Linked DNA regions of Astyanax mexicanus. The protein of the gene in region 1 purifies or fractionates together with the protein of each later gene. This does not show direct contact. Links are inferred from orthologs where the notes say so. Each region holds a gene or a part of one and is shown in the gene's direction. Other genes may lie near its edges. The genes, in order: cdk5rap3, pip4p2 and ufm1.

Region 1 (7,960 bases):
TTCTTTTATTTTCTTTTCTTTTCTTTTCTTGTGCACAATGTCTCTGTCAAGATCTTTGAAGGTTGTCTGTCTGTGTCTGTCTCCGTTCTTAATCAATCTCACTGTGATTGAATGCTTTCATTTGGTGCTCAGGTGTTGACATGATCTGCCAGATTTACACACACACACACACATGCACACAGCCTATCTAGCTGATGCAGCCTCCCACAAGAGTTGCAGTCCAAGCTGAACATTAGGGACAGCCCTTTGCAACTTGAGTAAATGTTACAGCCATGTGAGTGAAAGGGGGAGGGCTGCATCCAATAAACTGAGCCAATCCTGCGGGAGTGCAATGTTGACTTGGCATGGTAAATAAAATTGGCATGGTAAATAAAAAGGGTACTTAACGTTCTGAGGGGGGAAAAAGCACATTTGGGGTTCCTGTTAATTAAATGTCTGTCATCAAGAAGTCTACACTGGTGGTCAAACTATAGTAGTTCCAGTTTTTTTTTCAGCACCAAGAGAAAAAAATACAAACAACAAAGTACTTATTATTTGTGTGCTGTTGGACAAATGAATTTCCCCATTGGGGATTAATAAAGTATCTATCTATCTATCTACTTCTTTGAACATGAAACGTGATACATTTGAATGTAATTTCAAGGAAAATTGATCATTTATCATATTTGACCTCAACTTCTTTCCATAATGTATTATTTATAGTGTCTGGTTATGCATTTGTATATCCTTAGTTTTATCTAGCAATTTAAACCCAGCATTGCAACTGTTTACTTTTTAAATGTTTAATTAATTAATTAATTAATTAAACATTTTAATAAAATGAATTTTGTTAATATTAAAATATAGATTAAATCTCGTAACTAACACTCACTCTCTAACACCTACCTCCTCTTCTTCTACTTCTCTCTGTATAATAAAAAAAATCATTAAAACTAAACTGAGCTATTATAATAAAGTGTAAAAGGTTTACTTAGCCAGTTTGGTATGCCAGTTTGCAATGCATACCACACTACATTTATATAAAAGGAAGTATGAGCATTTTAACTTGTGATTAATCATGATTCTTCACAGAATGTTGATGTGATTAACGTGATTATATTTTAATCGGTTGACACCTTTTTTTTTTACTGCTTTGGTTGAAGAAACTTTAACACTTTTCACATTACAAATGACATAAAGAAACACAGAGTTTAAAGGCATGTAAATATTAAGTTTTACAGAGATCAGTATGTCTACCATTGTGCTTTTTCTGTAGCATTTGAGGAGAACAAGCATTGCCTGATTCACTCAATACTGCAAAGACAATAATAATAGGTTACTATACACTGGCATGCAGAAGTCATGGGATAGCAGAGCAGTATATCAAATGATAATAAACTTTTTCATCAGGGAACTGCTTGGGAATGGCCACACCTGTATAAGTTGTGAGGTGTTACCTTGTGAGTAAAGTTGAACACCGGCCACTGTGCTCAGACAAAGCGCTGTGATTCATCAGAGTTTGAAAGAGGCTTAATAGTAAGTGCCAGATGAATGGAACATTTTGCAGGAATTTAACACTTGGTCCACAGTGTCACGTGTTTGCTGGGAATAAATCATACAAGGCATTATCACCTACAGTGGCTGGCTAGACCTGCATGTGCAAGCATATTCTTGCACATTTAATGCAGCTTCAATGGAACATGGAAAAAGTCAAGGGGCATGATGCTAGTTCCTGTCCCATGACATTTGGCATTTCAATGGCCATTCTGCTAGGGCTCATTCTGTCTCATAAATATGCACATTATAACACTGAAAAGAAGAAGAAACATAAAGAAAAATGGCAACTAACCATTTAGGACAAAGGTAGTTGACGATTTTCATAAACCACATTACATTCTGCCAAAGCTTGTGAATAAATCAGACTCCTTCATCGTTTGTTTTTGCGAGGCCTCCACAGAGCCGGCTCTCAGTCTTTTGCATGATGTGGGAGAAATCACAGTCAGATAATGGATCTCCAACTCTGATAAGTGAAGGTTTGCCTGCTATTCAAATGTAAAGTAAAAGAGTATCGCAGATTGCTCTGCTTAACTGTCACAATACGTCATTTACAAGATACAGTAAGAAAATTAAAATTTATAATTAAATATAGATTTTTACTAAATACAGTCCAAAAATGTTTTTTTTTGTCATTTTAGCTCTAGAAACTTTGAGCTTTGTTAATATTTAGATTAGTCAGCAAACCGGACCCCTACAGACAGCAGATGCACCAGTATCTGTATTCAATACCCTGAATATTGTACAGTGCACAAGCAAAACCACACAGACAAAGAAGCTGGCAGTCACTGCACAGGAGACCAAATATCTCTTTGTGAGCTTGACATAATAAAGGCGGGCCATAGGTTTACACTCTGTCCCACAAGCGACAGTGTGTCTGCGTGATTTGAATGGATTGAGTCAAACTAAACAATAAGGAAACAAGAAAGAGGGAATGGATACTCCTGTGCACGGCAAACTTAAAAGCCTGGCTGAATTCTTGACTACGCTAAGCTCATTAGCCTTGGACAAAGCAGTTATTAATACAGACAATACCAGAGCTCAAGTACAGACATGCCCGAAATACAGTATTAAGGCTTTACAAAAATGTTTAGGAAGTTTTGGAATTAAGTACATTCACCAAACCCACCCCTCTTATGTTATTCACAAATCTCCAAATCTCTTTTTTTTTTTTCAAACTTTACAGGAGAAACAAAAACTTCCAATCATATTCCAGTAATTTTGGAGTATTTAAAGAGTTAATTTCTTAAAACTATACATTCTGTTCTTCAAACATATATTTATCTGATCTTGCAAATTAATTTTCGTTTCTATTGTTAGACTCAATTAATTTTTAAACAATGTGAAGGAATGCTCTTGGGATCAAAGAATGCTGCAAATTAAAAATCTACAAAAATGAAGATATGTGTTTTTCTCTGGACATTGTTAAATTATCCTTTCATTTGTCATATTTTTGGGAAATGGATTTAATGATTTATTACTGATACATATTTATTCCCTTTATCTACTGTAGTCTTGACACACACAGATATACTGTATCTAGAATACACAGTCTGATATGTACTCTAACAGTCATGGGATAAGAACTGACTGTGGAAATGCATGTGATTTCAGAAGAGCTGCAGAAACTTTAAAAAATGAAAATATACACAAATCCAAAAACACCAGCTTCTCTTGTTGAAACACAGACCGAGACAACATCCAGCAGGGATATGTTTAGCTTATCACCCAAAGACAAGTCATTTACTCATAGAACAATAGTCAAGCACTGGTTTTAATGATTACAAACTGTCTTTTGTTATAATGATAAATAGTTAGAAGACAATGCCACCTTGTGGACAATTTTTCTCATCTCCGTGAAGCCTTTTGTATGTTTATACCTATGCTAACTTTTATTGCAAACGTTTTTTTCTAAAACTGATAAATGTTTAAAAGCAGTTACCAGATTTAAATCCTGTCAAAATGTTAAACAGATACATCGTTTGGATGCCACAGAGGTTCCCTTGGCTGTCCAGGATAACAGGGTCCAGATCCATTTATTAGATTAATATTTAGCATTACAGTATAACAGAATGTCTACTGTTAGGTGTAGTCCCGTTTTTACAGCTGTTGTGATTTTACTCTTAGCCTGTACGTTTAATGCGTCAGGGGCCTACATGTGCATGACGTGCGTTTTTACGCATATGGTGCGTAATTACTCGCGACCTTCGTTTTTACGCAATAGGTGCGTTTTTACACGTCTCGTGCGCTTTAAAGCATCTAATGTGGTTTTATACACATAAGTAAAAACATAAGTAACACAACAATACATGTTTCACCTCTTATTTATAATTATTATTATTATTATTATTAGTAGTAGTAGTAGTAGTTGTTGTAGTATTAGTATTAGTAGTATTATTATTGGATATATGTACTAAAAATTAAAAACATTTGTTTTTCTTTATCTAGACTGCTGGAAAAAAATACAATAATCAGATTATCTGCAAATAGGGTTTACATCAGCTAGCATCATTAAATTAAAAAGGCACATTTAGGTTCAGTACAAATTAGTTTAATGCTACTTTAAAATGCAATATTTAAAAATGACTGAACTCCAGTGTAAGTATTTGGTGACCAAACATGTCTTGATTGATATATAAGGACTTAGAATAACTTTTTTTTGCAAAAAAAAAAAAAAGAAAGAAAGAAAGAAAAGTCTGGACTCACCTTCTCATTCTATTATTTTATTTTATTTTATTTTTCCCCCACATTGTAAATTAATAGTGAAGTCATCCGGAGGGAAGACATCCGGAGTCAAGAATTAAAAACAAACTTACTTAATACTCTCGCGATTTCTGTGTCTGGTAACTTACCCTGTGTCCTAGGGCGGTCCTGATGCAAGCCAGTTCCTTCATTTCCTTCATAAAGTGGTCTTTGCACTCAAGGATACTTATATTTTTGACTGACTGCCTCACAACTGATGCTCTCAAATACATTAAGAGGCAAGAATTTCAAGTTATTAACTCTTGATAAGTTCAGCAACGCTTTTAACTGAAAGTCATTACAGGTGACTCTACCTCATAAAGCTGAATGAGAAAATCCAGCCAAGATGTGCAAAGTTGTCATTTAAGCAAAAGGTGCTACTTTGGAAATATATTCAAAAAATACATATTCTGCTTTTTGTTTATTAAGTATTTATTGTAGATTAATAAAAAAATGTTAAAACAATGAAAAAACACTGAATTAAGATGTGTCCTAATTTTGACTGGTAATATTTGGTGTCTTTTATTTTGAAAAGTGTTAGGATTCCAACACTGAAGTGCTTTGCTCACAGAACAGACCCCCGTACTATCGCTGTTGCTCATTGGTCCCTTTTAGAAAATAACGTTTGAAGACTCGCTCTGATTGGTTGGCTGTGTAATACGTGTCAGTAGCAATATAAACGAAATCTGCGTTTATATCGAGTCTAAAGAATCTGATGGACATGTAGCTTATTATATATCAATTTATTTAAAAAAGGGGAATTCAAGAAACCCTCGGACACAATGGAGGTAATGTGAGAATAACACGAGTTTCTCTGTTAATGTTTTATATAGTTAAAGTTAACTGGGTAAGTAATTTAGTGTTACCTAGCTAGGCTAGCTGCACCAGGGCTTGACAACTTTTGACAACGTCTGTGGGGCAAAAGCCGGAGTTTAAATAACGAACAAACAGATAATATAGTATAATAAGTAACGTTAGGTAAGTTAAATTAGTCCTAAAAGTATGAGAAAGATCTAGTAGTTGGATTGTATATGATGATCCATATGTTCCATGTTTATTGGAGCCAGCTGTCATCTGTGTATAGAAAACAGTTATAAATCAGCTTTTATAGGATTAAGCAACAACACTGAGTTCTCAAGGTTTTTTTTCACACGTATATAGCTAGTAATACGTGCACCAGGACCATTGCGATATTTTGTTGTTTTGTAATAGAAATATGTGATTCTGTGATAACGTCCCCTAAAGTCAGTGTCAGTAAACTGGACATATATACAGTAACAGTCCAAATGTATGGTTTAATTTTGCAGTGATTTTGCTGTGTAATAAGATAATACAAGATAAGATAAGCCTTTATTAATCCCACAATGGGAAAATTTGTAGAGTAACAGCAATGCAGAGGACAAACAGAAGTGTCAGAAGGCACACAACATTATGAAATAAAATGTCTATAAACATAAATACAAGAGAACCTAACAATACAAGATATAAATCACAAAAAAACCTTAAAATATAGGCAAAACATGGTTCCTCCAATACGTTTGCAATATGTATGTAAGTAAATAAATAGCAAATAAATAGTGACATTGTACATATTATTGATCAATAGACTATGCAATACACGTGTAGCACAAGAGAATGCTACACATTGCACATAGTAAGAAATATTAGGAAAAAGTAAACAACTGTCTACCAAGACCAGTGCTTTTATACAGTCTGACACTTTCTTGTCATTAATGCTTGCAGAATATCCAGAATCTCCCAATTGACATCCAAACCAGTAAACTTCTGGGTAAGTCTTCTATATTTTATTATAAATATGAATTGTAAATATTTGTGCTTATTCTGTACTTCAGCAGGAGTTGTATAATCTGTGAAATAAACAAAAACAATTAAAGCTTTTCAATGTGCTGCTACTGAGTTGCTTCCTTCAACTCCTTAGACTGGTTGGTGGATAGAAGACACACTTCCCTGAAATGGCAGAGTACAGCACTGACCATCAGAGAGAAGATTAATGCTGCTATCCAGGATATGCCTGAAAATGAAGAGATCAGACAGCTGCTCTCAGGCTCATGTAAGTGGCATAAATGCTTGATTTGTTGAAACTTTTATTTTAAAAGGGGATAGATCAATATATATATATATATGTATATGTATCTGTATATATATATATATATATATATATATATATATATATATATATATATATATAATATTAGTCATATCTAATTTAGACACTATATCTAAATGGCATGTAATAAATGAAAGGCCATTGGAATCTGGACATCAGTTTGTATGTATGTTTGTATGTATTAGTGGCCAGGTGAGTATAGCTTGTTTAAATGCGTTTAAACACTTTTGCTGTTACCATGGTCAGCTTTCTGTTGTTCACTATTACCTTTAATATTTGTGTCATCCAGATATTCACTACTTCCACTGTCTGAGGATAGTTGAATTACTGAAAGGAACAGAAGCCTCTTCCAAAAATATATTCGGCAGATATTCATCACAAAGGATGAAGGTGACCATGTGACTGTTGCTACACGTGTGCATGTATAGACTTATTTCATTACTCTAAATTTTTGTTGTTCATTGTCAACAGGACTGGCAGGAAATAATATCACTTTATGAGAAAGACAATGCTTATCTAGGTAAGTGATGGTCAAGGAATCATGCCATATTTGACATTTGACATCATTTTTTAAGAATTAATAACTGTTATGAACTACCATTTTTGTGATTTGATATGTCTGTCTAGCTGAACTGGCCAGTCTGTTGAGCCGCAATGTGAGTTATGAAGGTCCTGCTCTGAGGAAGCAAGTGGCTAAAGCCCAGCAGCTGCAGCAGGAGCTGAGCAGACGAGAGGTAGAGTGCCAGAGCGGAGCTGCAGACATGAGGGACCACTATTATGCTGCCTGCAAGCAGTATGGCATTGCGGTAAGATCAAAGTTTATTTAAGAAACTGGAAAATTTCAGCAAGTAAAAACAAGGCAGACATGGTTATGGACTTTCTTCTGCTTTTAAGTAGTCCAAAGACCTGTGTGGGGTTGCGCTGAAGATCCACTAGTGCTAGGGAACTAGTATCATGCCCCATGACTTTTGCACTGACCTGCATGTGTAATGTATATGTTTTGCATTGAATCTTGATGGAATTTCTTCCATATTCGCTTTTCTTTTCTCACTAACAGCTCTAGCCAGACAGCACAGGTCGTGATCATTACCGCCCAGTGCCCTGTCCACTGTGGTTGGTAATGCCCTGTATTATGTATTCTCAGTACACCGGTGACACTATGGATTGAATGTTGAATGTTAAATGCCCGAAATGGAATGGCACATCATCCACCATCCACTATCAAGCCGTGTTCAAACTCATGTCACTAATAATTCATGAAGACTTGTCACCCAAATGCGGACCATTGATTATCCACACTCACAAGACACTCCAAACTTCTCACAATTTATACAGGTGTGGGTGTTTCTGAGCTTGACTTCTATCAAAAGGCAAAAAATGGACCAGCCGCACAATGGTAAATGGCAGTGGTCAAAACCTGGTCCATACTAAGTACAACTCACCGTTCATTAAGATGTATGGATGACGAGGGTCTAGACATTTTTCTGGCTAATTAATCAAATTTCTTAATCCTAATGGATGCCCAGCCAGTTATATCCTTCTTGTGTACCTTTTTAA
Region 2 (7,848 bases), on another chromosome or scaffold:
TTGTGATGTACACAACAGCATCCTAACAAAATTTTACATCAGATTTGTAATGTGTTTTTTCTTTTGCTCTAATAATGATGAATCCCATTATTCCCATAAATCAGAAAACTCCATATATATTTCTGAATATCATAATCTTTCTAAAATCTGTGTAAAACATTTTAGAATTCAAAGTGTCTGTGTTGCAGAAAACTATATTTGCCCATATAATCAAAAAATAAATAAAATCCTAATAATTGCAAAATATACACAATTCTTTCATAACCTTTCATCACCATAGATTCAACACAGAATGAGGAACTGTGAAAGGGTCTATTTGGACTTCTATGTCCTGTACTATTGTTCACAACCTGGACATCTGTCTGTTAAACATTATTATTAGGCTATTAGTGTTATCAGGCTACTAACTGCATTTTTTAAAAACAAAGTTACCGTCAGGTACAAAACAGCATTGCATTGTGAATACAAAATTAGGGTCCAGGAACAAATAAAACACTGGGTGTACAGGCAAGAAAAAAATGTATCAGGGCCCTTGCAGGGCTATTACAGTATTTAATGTATTTAGTAGTTTTAAGTGCTGTACTTAAAAATATAAAAATAATCTTGTTTGTCTTAAGTGTTCACATTTTGTAAAATATTTATGAACAGATACTGTTTTATAAAAATGTATTTGCTGTGTAATTACTGCTTGATATAAAGATGGATACGAGTAGGGAAATACTGTAATAACTGTGAAAAAAACTCACCCAGCTCTTGAATAAGTTCAGGCTCAGTCATTCTCAGAATTAGATGGAAGGACACTCTGTGTTGGGAAGGTTCTCTTTCCAGAGCCTCAAACAGCAGCCTCATCGCTTCTTGCTCAGTAGGAGCTGTTTCAACTTGACGAGCTGCTCTGTCATGGATCAGGTTTTGGGACAAGACCGCCTCTATGATGTCACTGACTCGTGTTGCTCGTACAATGATCTGCTCCTTGAATTCGGCGAGGAAGTCCCCAACTAATGGGTACACACATTCAGTTAAAGCAAGTACATTACACTGAAACAGCAAATTAAAACAGCATTTATATTATTTTCAACAGTAATTAATAATAATAAATACAAAAAAAATCATTGTTCACAAAGGCTGCAATGTGTATGTTCTAATATTATATATTGTTAGATCAAAGTTTACCGTAATCTCTAGATGCTTTGGACATGCTTTTGGCTGCTTTGGACAGATTGCCTGGTTGATCAGATGTCCCTTTAATGCTTGATCTGGTATTGCACACTAGGGAGAAATATTATTGCCCTTTATGATTTTTTTAAGCTGACAATTTAATCACTAGAAACATTGCAAAAATTAAAATATATGCATGTAACAGTTTTTTAAAATAATAATGTTTAGTTTAAATGTCATTTCTAAAACATGAGACATAGCATTTGTTATATAATCCGAGACATTTTTGTAGAATTAATTTGTAGCATTTTTACAAAATTTGATAAGACTCTTGTGCATTAGTTCCAAATACAAGAAAAACTATTAGATAGTGACTAATTATTTAAAACCATATAACATTTTAACCTGTGCATGTCTATAATTTAGGGAAAAAAGTTATTAAACCAACCATTTATATACAACAACTAAATGTCCCTGAACTTATGTATTGTTATATATTTGCTATAGTTGTTATATACATTCTTATTTCATGGACATCAATGTGTAATGAAACAGAATGCTGTTTTGTTCTTATGTTCTGTTTACACAATTAGCGAATTTTATTTTGTTGCTCAATTAATTAGTTGCAAAATAACAAACTAATCTTTAGGTAGACATATACAGGCTTTATATTTACTGAATAATATTGTAAAAAAAAAAAAAAAAAAAAACTTACCTTACGAAGCCTGCCTTTTTGGTTAATCAGACTGAATTAACTCTGCAAAGTGTAGTGGTCTGGTGGTTTAGCCATGGTGGTAACCAAACAAGTGACACTACTTTGTCAAAAACAGCTTATCTTGTTTTTCTGTACTCTTGGTGATCGCTTCATTTGGTGCCGAAACATTTGCGAGTTCTGCCTTACCATTCCTCTGATTGGCTGCGAGGGGTAAAGGGTGTGCTTTTATGCCAGTCTGTTTTTCTCTGATAAGGTGGGCTTCCCTGACTTGGGACAAAGCCAAGATACACTCCTACACTCATGATAACGTCCACACCCCTGTGTGTATTACACTTAAAACTCTTTTCTGCATGTTTTAACATTGACTTTTAACTTCTGAATAACTGTCAAAGGAAAGTAAGAATAACTAGGACTGGCTGATTTTGAGTCTTCATCTAATTTTTTAGAACACAATGGCGCAGACGAATCTTAGATAATATGCAGATGTCTCCAAAGTTAATAATAATTCACAATTAATTAAGAAAACCTGTCCCCCCATACAGCATGTTTTAGACACTATTTAATTCCTATCACCTGTCAGGAAACAACTGAAAATATTTATTATTTTGCTGTAGCAGAGATCATGCCAGTGTTAAAATATTTTGCCATATTTAATCAAAACTGTTAATATTTGGCTAACGGTATGACAATACATTTTTTACCAAGTTAAATAACTGTAGAAAGTGTTTTTTTTTATTATTTCTGTTATCGTTTGTGTTATTCTTTAGTTCAGTAAGTTTTTACATCTGTTCTAATAGAGAAGCAAAATGAAGATGTTATGTGATTATTATAAAAGTGCAGAGACATAAACAGTCCAGAAGGGGGAGTTATAACACTGTGGAGCACTGCCAGTGCAAAATGTTTGCTTTATTTGTGGGGTTGTTAAAATAATTAAAATATCTACTAATACATTATCAAAATCTAAGAGCCAGCAAAAACTGAATTAGTGAGCAGAATCAAGCTTTTGAAATGCTGTTTCTCCCTATTTATACTGTTTTGCAAAAAGTGAAATTAGAACAAGTAGCACAGAAAATTAATCCTGCAGGCACGTAACAGCATTAGACGTTATCATCATGAGGTAAACTTTTTATCATCTGACCTCATGACCAACATTCAACCTAAAATTAATGACTATTAATATTGGTGGCCAGCTGGGAACTTGTTTCAGGTGATTTAATTAGATATTAATTCAAACGGTAACCGGATAGAAACTGATATTGCAAAAGCAGCGTGTAAGACTGGAGGAGAACATGCCAAGATGCATGAAAACTGGTATTAAAAAAACAGGGTTATTCCTCCAAATATTGATTTCTGAACTCTTAAAACTTTACGAATATGAATTTGTTTTCTTTGCATTGTTTGAGGTCTGAAAGCTCTGCATCTTTTTTGATATTCCAGCCATTTCTCATTTTCTGCAAATAAATGATCTAAATGACAATATTTCTATTTGGAATTCGGAGAAATGTCCGTAGTAAACATAAGTTACCTATAAATAGCAAAATAAAATAAAATTATGCAGAGCTATATTGAGGGTTAAATTAAATTTCGAATTAATTAATTTCGAATTTAATCCGTGTTGGTGACGAGGCTGGAATTAGCTTCGTATTTCCAGTTGCCACACAGATAGCTAACATAACTAGCTAACCAGCTAACGTTAGCATTGCAGCTAGTTTGTTTACACTTTATTAAAAGTACATGAATATATTGAAAAATAAATATATTTTCTTATTAGACTAAATATTTCACTTTTTATTAAACCTAACATTATAACAGCATTGTAAACTAAATTAGTTCAGCTTCGCTGGTTACATGGCCAGCTAGTTAACGTTAGCTAACTAAATAGCTAGTTAGCTTAGCTAGCTGGCTCACTAACCTAACTAGCTAACCTAAAGTCCGTTAGGAAATTTAGCCTAGATTAGACAGGTTAGCAAGTTAGATAACCTAGCTAAAGGTCTAACCACTGTAAAATGTACTACAACCTATTAAGTAAAATTAAGTGAAGTAAACTATATAAGCTATTTATAACTTTCCTCTTAGGTTGCTGCTTAAGCGGTGATAGTAGTCCTGCTGAACACACAAACCAGCAGGCGAGCTCCAGCCGCTCTTTTTCCTCAGGACATTAATCAGGCAGTTGGCGCGTGACCAAATCTCAGATTTTGATTGGCTGAACACATTAATCTGCATTGAAACTGGCCAATACAGAACAGGAGTGATTTGATTATTTAATCAGAAAAAGAAGCACAAATGATTAATTCAGTTTAATTAAAGTAGGATGTTGGAATGTTTTAAACAGCTATAACACATATACCAGAGAATAAGACCTTCAGAATGGCAAAGTGAGCACATTACAGCAAAGATAATTCTAAGTACATTAACAGTCAGATGTTACAATTGTTTACATTGTTAATTTAATGTTGCAGAAATTAAAATATATTTATTTTTTATCTCATTTGGAAATCAGGTCTATTTTACTGTTTTCTCGCTTATCTACTTAGATTTTTATATATTGAACAGGATTAATACCTCTATACAAAACAGTGGAGAGATTTAGGTACCAGTAGGCAATATTTGACAATATTTGTATTTGAAAGTTAGGAGGAATGTTGTCTGTAGTTTAAAGAATAAAGCAACAATATTAATTTTACATAAATATATACCTAAAAATTGCAAAATCAGAGAAAGTGATTTAGAAACTGAAGTGGTCTCTTAATTTTCTCCAGAGCTGTATGTGGCCCCTTGGTAAAAAAAAAAATTGCCCAACCCTGGTCTAGTGCTATCTGGGTGAGGGACGCAGAGGTGTTTGTTTGTTGGTGAGGGCCAGTAGGGGGCTTCCCCACCGCTCGGTGTCGGACCCCGGTTGCGTCACTGGCCCCGCCTCCTGCTGGTGCTGCTGGAGCGGTGCTGGATCTCCGCTGCCCCCCCATTTCCACAGCGGAGCGTGTGTGAGTGTGTGTGTGTGGGGGAGATCGTGTGTTTGTTGTGTTTTTGTTCTGCTCAGTCGGACCCGCTGTAAGGATGGCCTCCGACGGTATGGACGAGCGCTCGCCGCTGCTGCCCGGACAGAACTCGGGCAATGTCACGCCCACAGCGCCGCCGTACCTGCAGGAGGGCAGCGGCAGCCCGAGAGGTAGGAGCGGCGGACGCCGAGCTGCTGAATCATTTTTGGGGCGTAGCGGCCGCAGAGAGTGCCGCCCGCCGCACGGAGCTCCATCCGCCGCGCAACACGATGCGGCCGAGGCCTGGGAGAGCGGAGGGGGGAAGAGGCAGGGCAGGGGAAGAGTAAATACAGGGAGGGAGCGAGGCCTGAGAAAAACGACAGTGCTGCTGTAGATTGGTCTGAGGCTTATTGGAGTGTAGGTTACATTATAATAATAATAATAATAATAATAATAATAATAATAATAATAATAATAATAATGATCTGTATAATAAACACTACCGTAAGATAGCCTGGGTGTAGCTACAGGCTGCAATCTGACACCGAACTGGGGGCCATGTACTGAAGGATAGAGGGTGTTGCAGCACTACAAAAAGCGTCACACTGGAGTTATTGCACATTAAATTGCACTGGTCAGTTCTGTGAAAGGCCCTTTCCAGCGTTTAGTGCTGAAACACAACAGTAAACAGAGGAACTAGCGCACGGATTTATAGGTGGAGTCCATACACAGGGAGTAACAAACCAGGCGAGCTAGCCTAACCTACCTGTGTGCTTTTCCATTCATGAGTCCACCTTGAGTAAGCCGTTTTTTCCTAAAATCAGAAATCTAACTCTTATTTCATTGCTAATATCTCTAATTACCTATAATGTATTACACAGACAGCTATGAAACTAGTGATAAGATCAAGTACACAGACCTATAGCCTAAATCCTCTTAGACTAGACACATTATCATGCAAACATTTCCTTACTCTAATTCTGATTAGTCATATGATACCATTAGTTTACATAGAATTTCTTATCTATAATTATGTTGTTAACATGTAAAAAATCAGATGCAGGTGTCTGTAATTCCTACTAATAAAAAGCTCTACTGTTCAGTACTGTTATTTGTACTAGTCAAAACTCAAATTACATATATCTAAAATGATATTTAGCAAAAAATATGTTAACATACACAAAATGCACATTGCAACTAGTCAAAACTACACAAGAGATTGTTTTTATTATTAGTACTAGCCTGAATTCACTTAGCTACAGATATGAGAAACTTCTGCAGTCTTGCTGTCTTGTATGAATGGTTCCCCACGTTTACACTATTCATGAGTTTCTACACTCAACAAACATGGGTTAGACATTTTCAGTGTCAAAAGTTAGCTTTTGTGATTTGCCCCAGAGCTACAATGTTAATGTAGCTCTGAATTATAAAGGTAGCTTCAGTGCAATACCCCTGTAGTCAACATCATTGTCAGCATTGGGAGCAACTTAAAAGTAGCAGAATGCAATTAGTGTTCACAAACATATGGTGTGATGTTATTAGTGACAACGCCTTTAACCCACCTGTTCAGTGAACAGATACTGTACATATACACTAATAAGCAAATATGCCCAGAACAGTGGGCAGCTATTGCCCTGGCATCAGAGAGCAGAGTGGTCATGGGGACCACAGTTGGGCCTTGCTCAAGAAACCCCAACCATGACAGCTTTGCTAACCTGGGTATGAAAACCTGTTATTTTGTTTATACTCTTTCATAGTTTTCCGGTTAAAGAATGATTTATTTTCTTTTTGCCATTTGAAGGGATATTTTTTGCTTTTTTCATTAAACATGCCATATTTACACAGAATATATAGGTATGTTGTCAATGACAAAGATATGCAGGTTTAGAAATGTTACCTTTGAACATTATGATGTGGCTTTACTTTCTGTCCTGGTATTTCTTACCCCTGGATTACTGCTAATTTAGTTCTTTTTGACCACAGTTTCATTCGCATTCTGTCTTTAATAGGGATTACCTGGGCTCTGGTCACGACAGAACAATGTATAGCACTTTGTTGAGACACAATTAGCGTTGAAATGTTGGCAGAACAGCTGGTTTAAGACCAGTACACTTATTGGTCTGATATATGTGAACTCTGGCTATTACTGACACAGAACTGATTCTTATTGCATTGTAATCTACATTCATTCTCTTAATGCCTCAACATGAAATCGTTGCAACACCAGTAGGCCACAGCTAGTCCAAAAGCCCTCTGGTAAAAGAAAACAGATAAAAACAGGTATGCCCATACATCTATCCTAAATAGAACCATTGCATTTACTGAAGAACCATATTTCCATATAAGGACATAGTGCTTGAAAATGTTGAATTATACTCTTGTGCATGTGCCTACATCATGAATCCTGTGTTGTTGTTTTTTGGATTATTTATCTCTCTTAATTCCTTAAAATTGAATATGTTGTTTTGTTACGACACCTTTAAAACAGATATACTGTATGTAAAAGGCCTCTGATCTGAATGGCTTTTCTGCATATGAACAATGTTACATATTCTGTAACCGGCAAAACATTGGGCAGCCCTGGCCAAAATGTCTATTACAATGAATAGTTAGAGCCCATGAGCATATCTCTGAAAGACATAAAGTTAATTACTATGCGTTTCTTTCATATTTTAGGGAAAATTTGGATCTTGTATAGTAAAAAAAACGAACCAAAAAATTGGGGGCCAAAGCAAATAATAATGCTTTTAGGTCAGAGGTCTGTGGGGGGCCATAGCATAACCTAGAGTTTTTACCTGTTAAGATCATTGTAAGTTCATTATGGATTTTGAGGTGTGTTTATGGTCATTTTCAGCATTATTCAGTTCATTATCCAACCTTATTGACCCACTCCTGCTCTTCACAATTGGAGAGTTGTTCTTTTCAAAGATTTTCCCCCACATTTGTTTCCCAAATATTTCACCTTTCGTAGTGAGGAAGCGGGAAAGATTATCTTTTGATGAC
Region 3 (7,215 bases), on another chromosome or scaffold:
GATAGATAGATAGATAGATAGACAGACACAATACAATACGAAACATACTTAAACTCCCACTTCTTATCAGACAATCCATAAACTTGCGCAATAAGCCCGGGACAAATCTTTAACTATTGCATAACTCTCAGTGCCTAGTGGATGTGAGTTTAAAGAACCATCAGTAGTCTATTCTTCTCAGCTCCATCCATCGCCTCCAGGGAGGCTCCTGGCTCCAAGCCCTGATGTGCTCGCAGCAGGGTCTGCCCTCCCAGAATGACTCATTACACTCCAGCTTCCAGCTTCCATCACTGACAATATACTGACAAGCTTTACTCCCACTGATGCTCTTTTCAGGAGTGACAGCGGCTCAGACACAGCACAAACTTACTGTAGATGATTTCCAAGCTGCCAGAAAAGAAGAAAATATAGAACTGAGATGCCTAAATACGATCTTTCATAAGAGCCAGCAGGTGCTCACTTTGTTTAAGACAGGGATGTCAAGCTGGGTTCGTTCCAGGCCACCTATTTCTGAGCTTGGAGGTTGAACATGGAGAGGCTGTTCATTCCAGCTGGTAACGAGGAAATATGACTTCACTCTGTTTGGGTTAATGTTGAAAGATACCGCCCACTAAAATGAACAAAGGCTGGAGGTGTGGGGAGTACAAATTCTGGTTTCTGTTGCTGCAAACTATATATATATATATATATATATATATATATATATATATATATATATATATATATATATATATATATGTATATGTATCTCCAAAACAGCTAATTTACAGGAGAGAGAAGAAACCTTCTGAACTTAAATGGAAGTCAATGTAAAAAGAGTTTATGTCAGGTCATTTTGAGGTATTTCTATTGGTCTGTTCATCAAGACATTTTGGCACAGGGTAAGGCACAGTTTTTTTCTGTTCAAATTATGTAGTAAACTAAAACTCATTTTCTTTGGACAGTGATGATATATTACATGAAACAATACCAATACAGTGGCAAAAAATGTATGTGAACTGTTTGGAATTTCATGGTTTTCTGCAGAAAATTGGTTATTAAATGTGATCTGATCTTCATTCAAGTCAAATATATTGACAAATATATTGTGCCTAAAATAATAACACAAACATATATATGATCTTCAAGGTCTTTATTAAACACATTCATTCAACAATTAAAATAATAATCTCAATCAGGCACTTCCTGTAGCTCTGTTTCAGACCTGCACATTGTTCAGGAGGAATTTTAGCCCATTCTTCCTGGCAGAACTGCTTAAGCTCTGTCGTATTCCTTGGACATCTCAAGTGTACATCTCTCTTCAAGTGAACTCATAGCATCCAGTTCTTTGACTTGGCCACTCCAAAAGGTGGATTTTTTTTTTACATAGCCAATCTGTTGTTTTGGGTCATTGTCCTGTCGTAAGACCCAACTTCTACAGAGGTTCAGTTGATTTACAGACACTCTAACATTATCCTGTAGAATATTTAGATTTACTTGTTAATTCATCTTCCCCAAATCAGGCCCAAATCATGATGTTCCCTCCACCATGAGGCAATAGTCTTTCCACAAAACATTTTGCCAGTAACATTGTGAAGTGTCCATGTGCTTTTTCGCAAACTTCAGGCGTGCAGCAATTTTTTTGTTTGTTAGCAATGTCATCCTTTGTGGTCTCCTCCACAGACATTGTGCTTGTTCATTGTTTACAGATTTTAGTGTGGGATAAATATTACTACATATAAACTTTAATAAATACCACCACACATAGCTAGCCAGTTTTACAGTCTAAAAAAAGTGAAAAAGTGAAACAGTGAAAAATAATTATAATTTGTATATTATTATTAAGATAAGATCCATTTACCTTATAAAGGTTGAGCCTCCAATTTACAGTATTCCAATCTTTCAATATTCATGCAGGAGCTTGTTCTTATATAACTGGCTCGGCAGCTTTGCAAAGATGGCCACCAAGTAAACAGACTGTCCTATAAAGACTTTAGCACTGAACATGCTCCTATTCAAACCAGCCAATATCAAGCAAGACACATAACAACGATAACAATCTTAGTGTGCTCGCTAATTTGTTATGTGAAATAAAACTGTAAACTAAAACAAGAGCCTTGGTCTAGACTTTCAGGTGTAAAAATGCACTTACTGAACGTGTACTGTATTATCCACCAAATTTCCCACTTATAAACAAGATTCCTTTTTTACATGTCAGTAAACTGGCGTTTCAGAGTCTCCAGCACCACTTGAATGCAGCATAACACTCTCTGAAGGCCTTTCTAATTAGTTGTTGATATCAATCAGGTTAGGCTTAATGAAGCAGAACCCAGGAGTCTGCAGTGTGGTGGTCCACAAGGGCTGGAATCTGACACATGCAATCTAATGTGTGATGAGCATAACACTAGCAGTTGTGTATGTCTGTGTAAAAGGTTTCTCCCAATCTTTAGAAGGTTTTCTTGCAGTGTATCTCTGTAATTTGCAGCACCCATCCGTTATTCTGTAAAAAAATAATAAAACACAACAATTACAAAATCAATGTGTATTAATGCATATCCAGTGCCAGTCAAAATCAAATCAAAAACACACATTTTCATTTAAGGTTTTTAATTGTTCCTACATTGTAAGTCATCCAATCTATGAAGGAACACATAAGAAATCATGTGGTAAACTTACTATGTGAAGCATCTACGTGGTTCTTATCTGGGCTGTTGTTAACTTGTTGTTTCTGAGGCTGGTAACTCTGATTAATTTACCCTGTACAAGAGGTAACTCTTGGTCTTTCTTTTATGGGGAGGTCCTGATGAGAGCCAGTTTCATCATAATGTTTTTGATGGTTTTTGCGACTGCACTTGAGGATGCTTTTAAAGTTATTGATTTTTTTAATTAACTGTCCTTTATTTCTTAAAGTATTTTTTTTACTTTACTTAGTTGAGTAGTTCTTGTCATAATCTGGATTAGAACATTACTCAAATCAGGCTATTCTCTGTATACCTGTAACTCTACCTCTTCACTACTTTACTTTAACTGATGCTCTCAAACACTTTATTAAGAGACAAGAAAGTCAAGTAATTAACTCTTTGCAAGGTCAGAACAGCTGTTAACTGAAAGCCTCGCCACGTGACTCTACCTTATAAAGCTAAACAACACAACTAGACAACTTCAAAACGACTCTGAAAAGACTTGTAATAGATTAAGTTTAAAGACTTAAGTCTGATGTGGAATAAAACTAATCTCTATTTTTAATCTAAGCATAATTTCATTGGAAAATAAAAATTGTATTGAGGCCTCCCTAGTCCAAACTTTTGACTGGTACTGTAAATATCTATTTGTTAAAAAATAAAAATAAAAATAATAATAATAATAATCATTTACAAAAAATAATATAAAAGTGTAAAAACATATTACAGCAATAGAACAGCTTTATCTAATTTAATTGTTATGAAAAATCTCAATGTTTGGAATGTATTTAGATTTATTACATAATTTAAAACTGGCATCTGTCTTTTAAATGATGTCAGTAGGGCACAATAAATGGCAGATGCTTCAAAACCTTTTACTTTTTGTTTATTTATTTATTTATTTCACATTACTTAGTTACTAGCGGTTCATACATACATTTGGCCAAATACATTTGCCAATCATACATTTTTTTATTCATGTAAAACTACATGTTATTGGGAGCAAATATTATCACTGATTATTACTGTCCAAATAGACATGATTTTAAAAAATAGTTTTCCTTAGACCTTTTAGAAAACGATTAAATAATTAAAATAACGGTTTATATTTTTGTTTGACCATTTTTCTATTTTTCATTTTCATTTTATTTTTTATTTTTCTGTATTTAACAGTGTTATTTATAAAGCATGAAATCAGACTGTCAGAGACAAAAACTAGATAAAATTAAAAACGTCAACAAAATAAAAAGAACGCCATTTTTAGCTGATTAAGATAGCTAATTAGACTACTATAAGTGAAAAGAGTTCCAAACCACATAAATCATGAGTCGAATTTCCTGTGAACCAAAACTCTAGGAAATCCTCGATTCGCTTATACTCAGAGACTTACGGTAGAATAAGGGCACCAGTGAAAGTTGCCTGACCGCAAATACAGTTACAGCTTTTGAAATAAAACTGGTTTTAATGAGTTCACGCGTTTAAATTAAGAGTATGAGAGATAAATGTGGACTAACTGACAGAGTTCAGACTGCAGTGATGTGTGTGAAGGAGGAAAATAAGGCTGAAGCAGACTGACTCTGTTCTCTGAATGGGTGACGTGTTCTAAAGGGTCCTCGGCGCTGTTCCTGCTGGGTGTAAACAGTGTGCTGTTCACTGGCTCTGCATTAATCATGTAACTGTTCTTATTTTACCGCTTTAACTAACCCGGTTCAGGTATTATATACTGGGCCAGTTCAGTACCGAGCTGAATATATGTGTCTGTTTATGTTTTAGGTCTAAAGTAACGTTTAAAATCACCCTGACGTCCGACCCCCGGCTACCTTACAAAGTGTGAGTAACAGATCTCTCTTTCTCTCTGTTTATTATAAAAACACAGAGCTTATTTATCTTTATAAGGCAGTAATTTAGTTATTTAGCTAGTTAACGCTGTGTTTGTAAGTTCCATTCACGCACTCGATTGGTTGGCCTGCCGTTTTCTTAATGTAATGTTCTTAGTGTTAAGTTCATGGTAAATGTGACAGCTTTCATTAGACTAAAGCTAAAGCTCTTACAGTAGCTAGTGTTCGTACATTTTAACACTAACACATTTAACTACTTACAGCAGAGATTATTTTACCTAATAAAGTGACATTTAACTGTTTACAATTAACGTTACATGGAGAATGTGATTACTAGCCTAACTAGTTAGGATTAGCATTAGCTAACTTACTTCCATGCTACTATCTACCTAGTTAACCTAGCTAACGTAAAATTCCCACACATCTGCGGTAGGTAACTTAGTTAGCTAGCTAAATTCCAAATTCCTTAAAACAGAATATTTAAGCTGTTGATTAAAAAAAACAATATAGTGGGACAAATTCCAAACTTTACTTTCAGTCCTGTTTCCAAAGTCACTTAGGGTTAACAACGTTTTTTTCCTGAAAACACACAAAATAATTGACAGTTGTTATGGCTAATTACAAATTAGCAATTGTTTAAGAGGAATGTCGAGCACTAGAACCAACCAGAAATTATACTAATCCAACATTTAAAAAAATATTGATTGAAAAGACAGAAAACAGGAAAACAGGTAACATTTTAACAGCAGCTAGTTCGCAAGCTTACAACTCCCACACATCTTCATTAGCTAGGTTAGCTAAATAACAAATTCCAAATCCGCTGCATTAAAACAGAATATTCAAGGCTGAATTTTAAGCTGGTGATAAAAAAAAAAACAAGAAAGTGGAAAAAAAATCCACACTTAACTTTTCCTTAGTCCTGCTTCCAAAGACACACTTCCTAAAATATTCACCTAGGGTTAACTACGTTTTTCCTGGAAACACACAAAACATATGGCTGTTGTTGTGGCTATTTACAAATTAGCAATGGTTTAAGAGGATCGTCGAGCACTAGAACCAACCAGAAATTATCCTAATTTAACATTTAAAAATATATATATTGAAAAGACAGAAAACAGGAAAGCAGGTAACATTTTTGCAGCAGCTAGTTCGCTAGCTTACAACTAGCATCTGTATTAGCTAGGTTAGCTAAATAACAAATTCCAAATCAGCTGCCAGTTGTAAATGCCTTAAAAATCATTAATAATCAGTTATAACACATACGTAGAAAGGGCAACAATATAGATGGCTGTGAGTTCACTATTTGGCAAACAACAGGTCATTGTTGCTTTTCCTATGTATGTGTTATAACTGATTATTACAGATTTTTAAGGCATTTACAACCTAATTAATAACCATTAATAAACTAATTGTAAACCAATTAGAAACCCTTTATATAGGTAGTCTTATTTAAAAGTGGAACCGAAATGTCTATAGTAGTTGTGCAGTGATTCACAAAACTTTTTTTGAGTCAGTGGTTTGGTCATGGCTGTTTTTTAGGGTTATAACACTAGCCAAAAGTTAGCCATGTACAAGTTTAAAATGCTACGATAATAATGCTACAGTCGAGTGCTGTCGTAAACCAGGAAATACTACTGTTTGTATCACTTGTAATTTACACTGGAACAGCCAGTGAGTTCAGAATTGTGTCTTTTTGTTATTTTAGGCATCTCTTCTTGTCTGTAGTATATAGAATAAAACGCCAATGTTCATTTTACTCAAACATAAACCTATAAATCTGTATAAAAGCTGTTTTTTCTTGTTTTTTTTTTTATCTTATTTAAAACCTTTTTTTAAATAGCAATTATTTGACAAACCTGAATTTACCTGTTTGTGCTGAATCATAATTTAACCAGGTAAAGCATCATGTAGGCAATCAAGCTAAATTTAAAATATTTTTTTAAAGCATGAAAATGCTAGAGCGCCACAGATTTTACATCACATTTGAGTGTGAGACTGCACAACAGACATGATTTGAAGTATAAATTGGCATTATCATCCACATTGGACACATTTGCTAAATGAGCTGTTAGTGGCTGAATGGTCTATCTGCAGATTTAGATGCTTTGAATATGGATTTTGTGTTGTTGTCTGAGATTCCTGCTGTTTGTCTGGCTTTGAGCTATTCCACTCTTTAAATGAAGCGTGTGTTGATCATTTTGATGATGCTTTAGGAGGAGATCTGATCACTGCTCGGCATGTTTGGTGCTTAGGCTGATTTGCTTTCATCTTTTACTGTTGCAGATTAAGTGTCCCTGAAAGCACGCCCTTCACGGCGGTGCTGAAGTTTGCAGCAGAAGAGGTAACAGATTTTTTTTTTATAATTGCAAAGTAAAAGCTTTTGCATTTTGATGAAACTGTTGAAAAAGAGATTTAGCTTAATATTGGTGAGCTTGCTTTGAGTGTTGACACTGGCCCATCTGTCCCTCTAATGATGCGTTGCCTCGTTTTCACATTAGTCCGTCCCGTTCAGGAGCGATAAATGATTCCTCACGCAGAGAGCTTCAGGCTGATAGTATTAAAGGCACTGCATACCTTGTGTGTGCTAAATTAATTGGGTATGTTTAAAAAGGAAATTCACCAATTTCTTTTTGCAGTTTTTGCATATTTTAATCATTAGCATGTAAACAAATCAAGTGTGAAATGCTCCAGACATCTTAAAAGAGTTTTCTGCTTCT

Evidence for each region.
Region 2: the proteins of cdk5rap3 (region 1) and pip4p2 purify together in Homo sapiens (affinity purification with mass spectrometry; 3 studies listed by BioGRID and IntAct, counting the BioPlex papers as one, with this or other methods). This does not show direct contact. The link is inferred for Astyanax mexicanus from reciprocal best matches to the Homo sapiens genes CDK5RAP3 and PIP4P2.
Region 3: the proteins of cdk5rap3 (region 1) and ufm1 purify together in Homo sapiens (co-immunoprecipitation; 3 studies listed by BioGRID and IntAct, with this or other methods). This does not show direct contact. The link is inferred for Astyanax mexicanus from reciprocal best matches to the Homo sapiens genes CDK5RAP3 and UFM1.

Annotation. Positions count from the first base shown.
Region 1 is NC_064422.1:30,384,095-30,392,054, forward strand, and holds the start of cdk5rap3 (CDK5 regulatory subunit-associated protein 3), read left to right. Parts: upstream 1-4,906; 5' UTR 4,907-5,057; coding exon 5,058-5,063; intron 5,064-6,018; coding exon 6,019-6,064; intron 6,065-6,214; coding exon 6,215-6,346; intron 6,347-6,692; coding exon 6,693-6,793; intron 6,794-6,874; coding exon 6,875-6,923; intron 6,924-7,030; coding exon 7,031-7,209; intron 7,210-7,960. UniProt on the Homo sapiens protein: Substrate adapter of E3 ligase complexes mediating ufmylation, the covalent attachment of the ubiquitin-like modifier UFM1 to substrate proteins, and which is involved in various processes, such as ribosome recycling and reticulophagy (also called ER-phagy).
Region 2 is NC_064410.1:40,374,115-40,381,962, reverse strand, and holds the start of pip4p2 (type 2 phosphatidylinositol 4,5-bisphosphate 4-phosphatase), read left to right. Parts: upstream 1-4,824; 5' UTR 4,825-4,924; coding exon 4,925-5,036; intron 5,037-7,848. Other genes in the region: si:ch211-250g4.3 (extracellular matrix-binding protein ebh), read right to left, coding at 747-995, 1,171-1,195. UniProt on the Homo sapiens protein: Catalyzes the hydrolysis of phosphatidylinositol-4,5-bisphosphate (PtdIns-4,5-P2) to phosphatidylinositol-4-phosphate (PtdIns-4-P).
Region 3 is NC_064427.1:37,354,003-37,361,217, forward strand, and holds the start of ufm1 (ubiquitin-fold modifier 1), read left to right. Parts: upstream 1-4,140; 5' UTR 4,141-4,330; coding exon 4,331-4,332; intron 4,333-4,433; coding exon 4,434-4,490; intron 4,491-6,781; coding exon 6,782-6,839; intron 6,840-7,215. UniProt on the Homo sapiens protein: Ubiquitin-like modifier which can be covalently attached via an isopeptide bond to lysine residues of substrate proteins as a monomer or a lysine-linked polymer.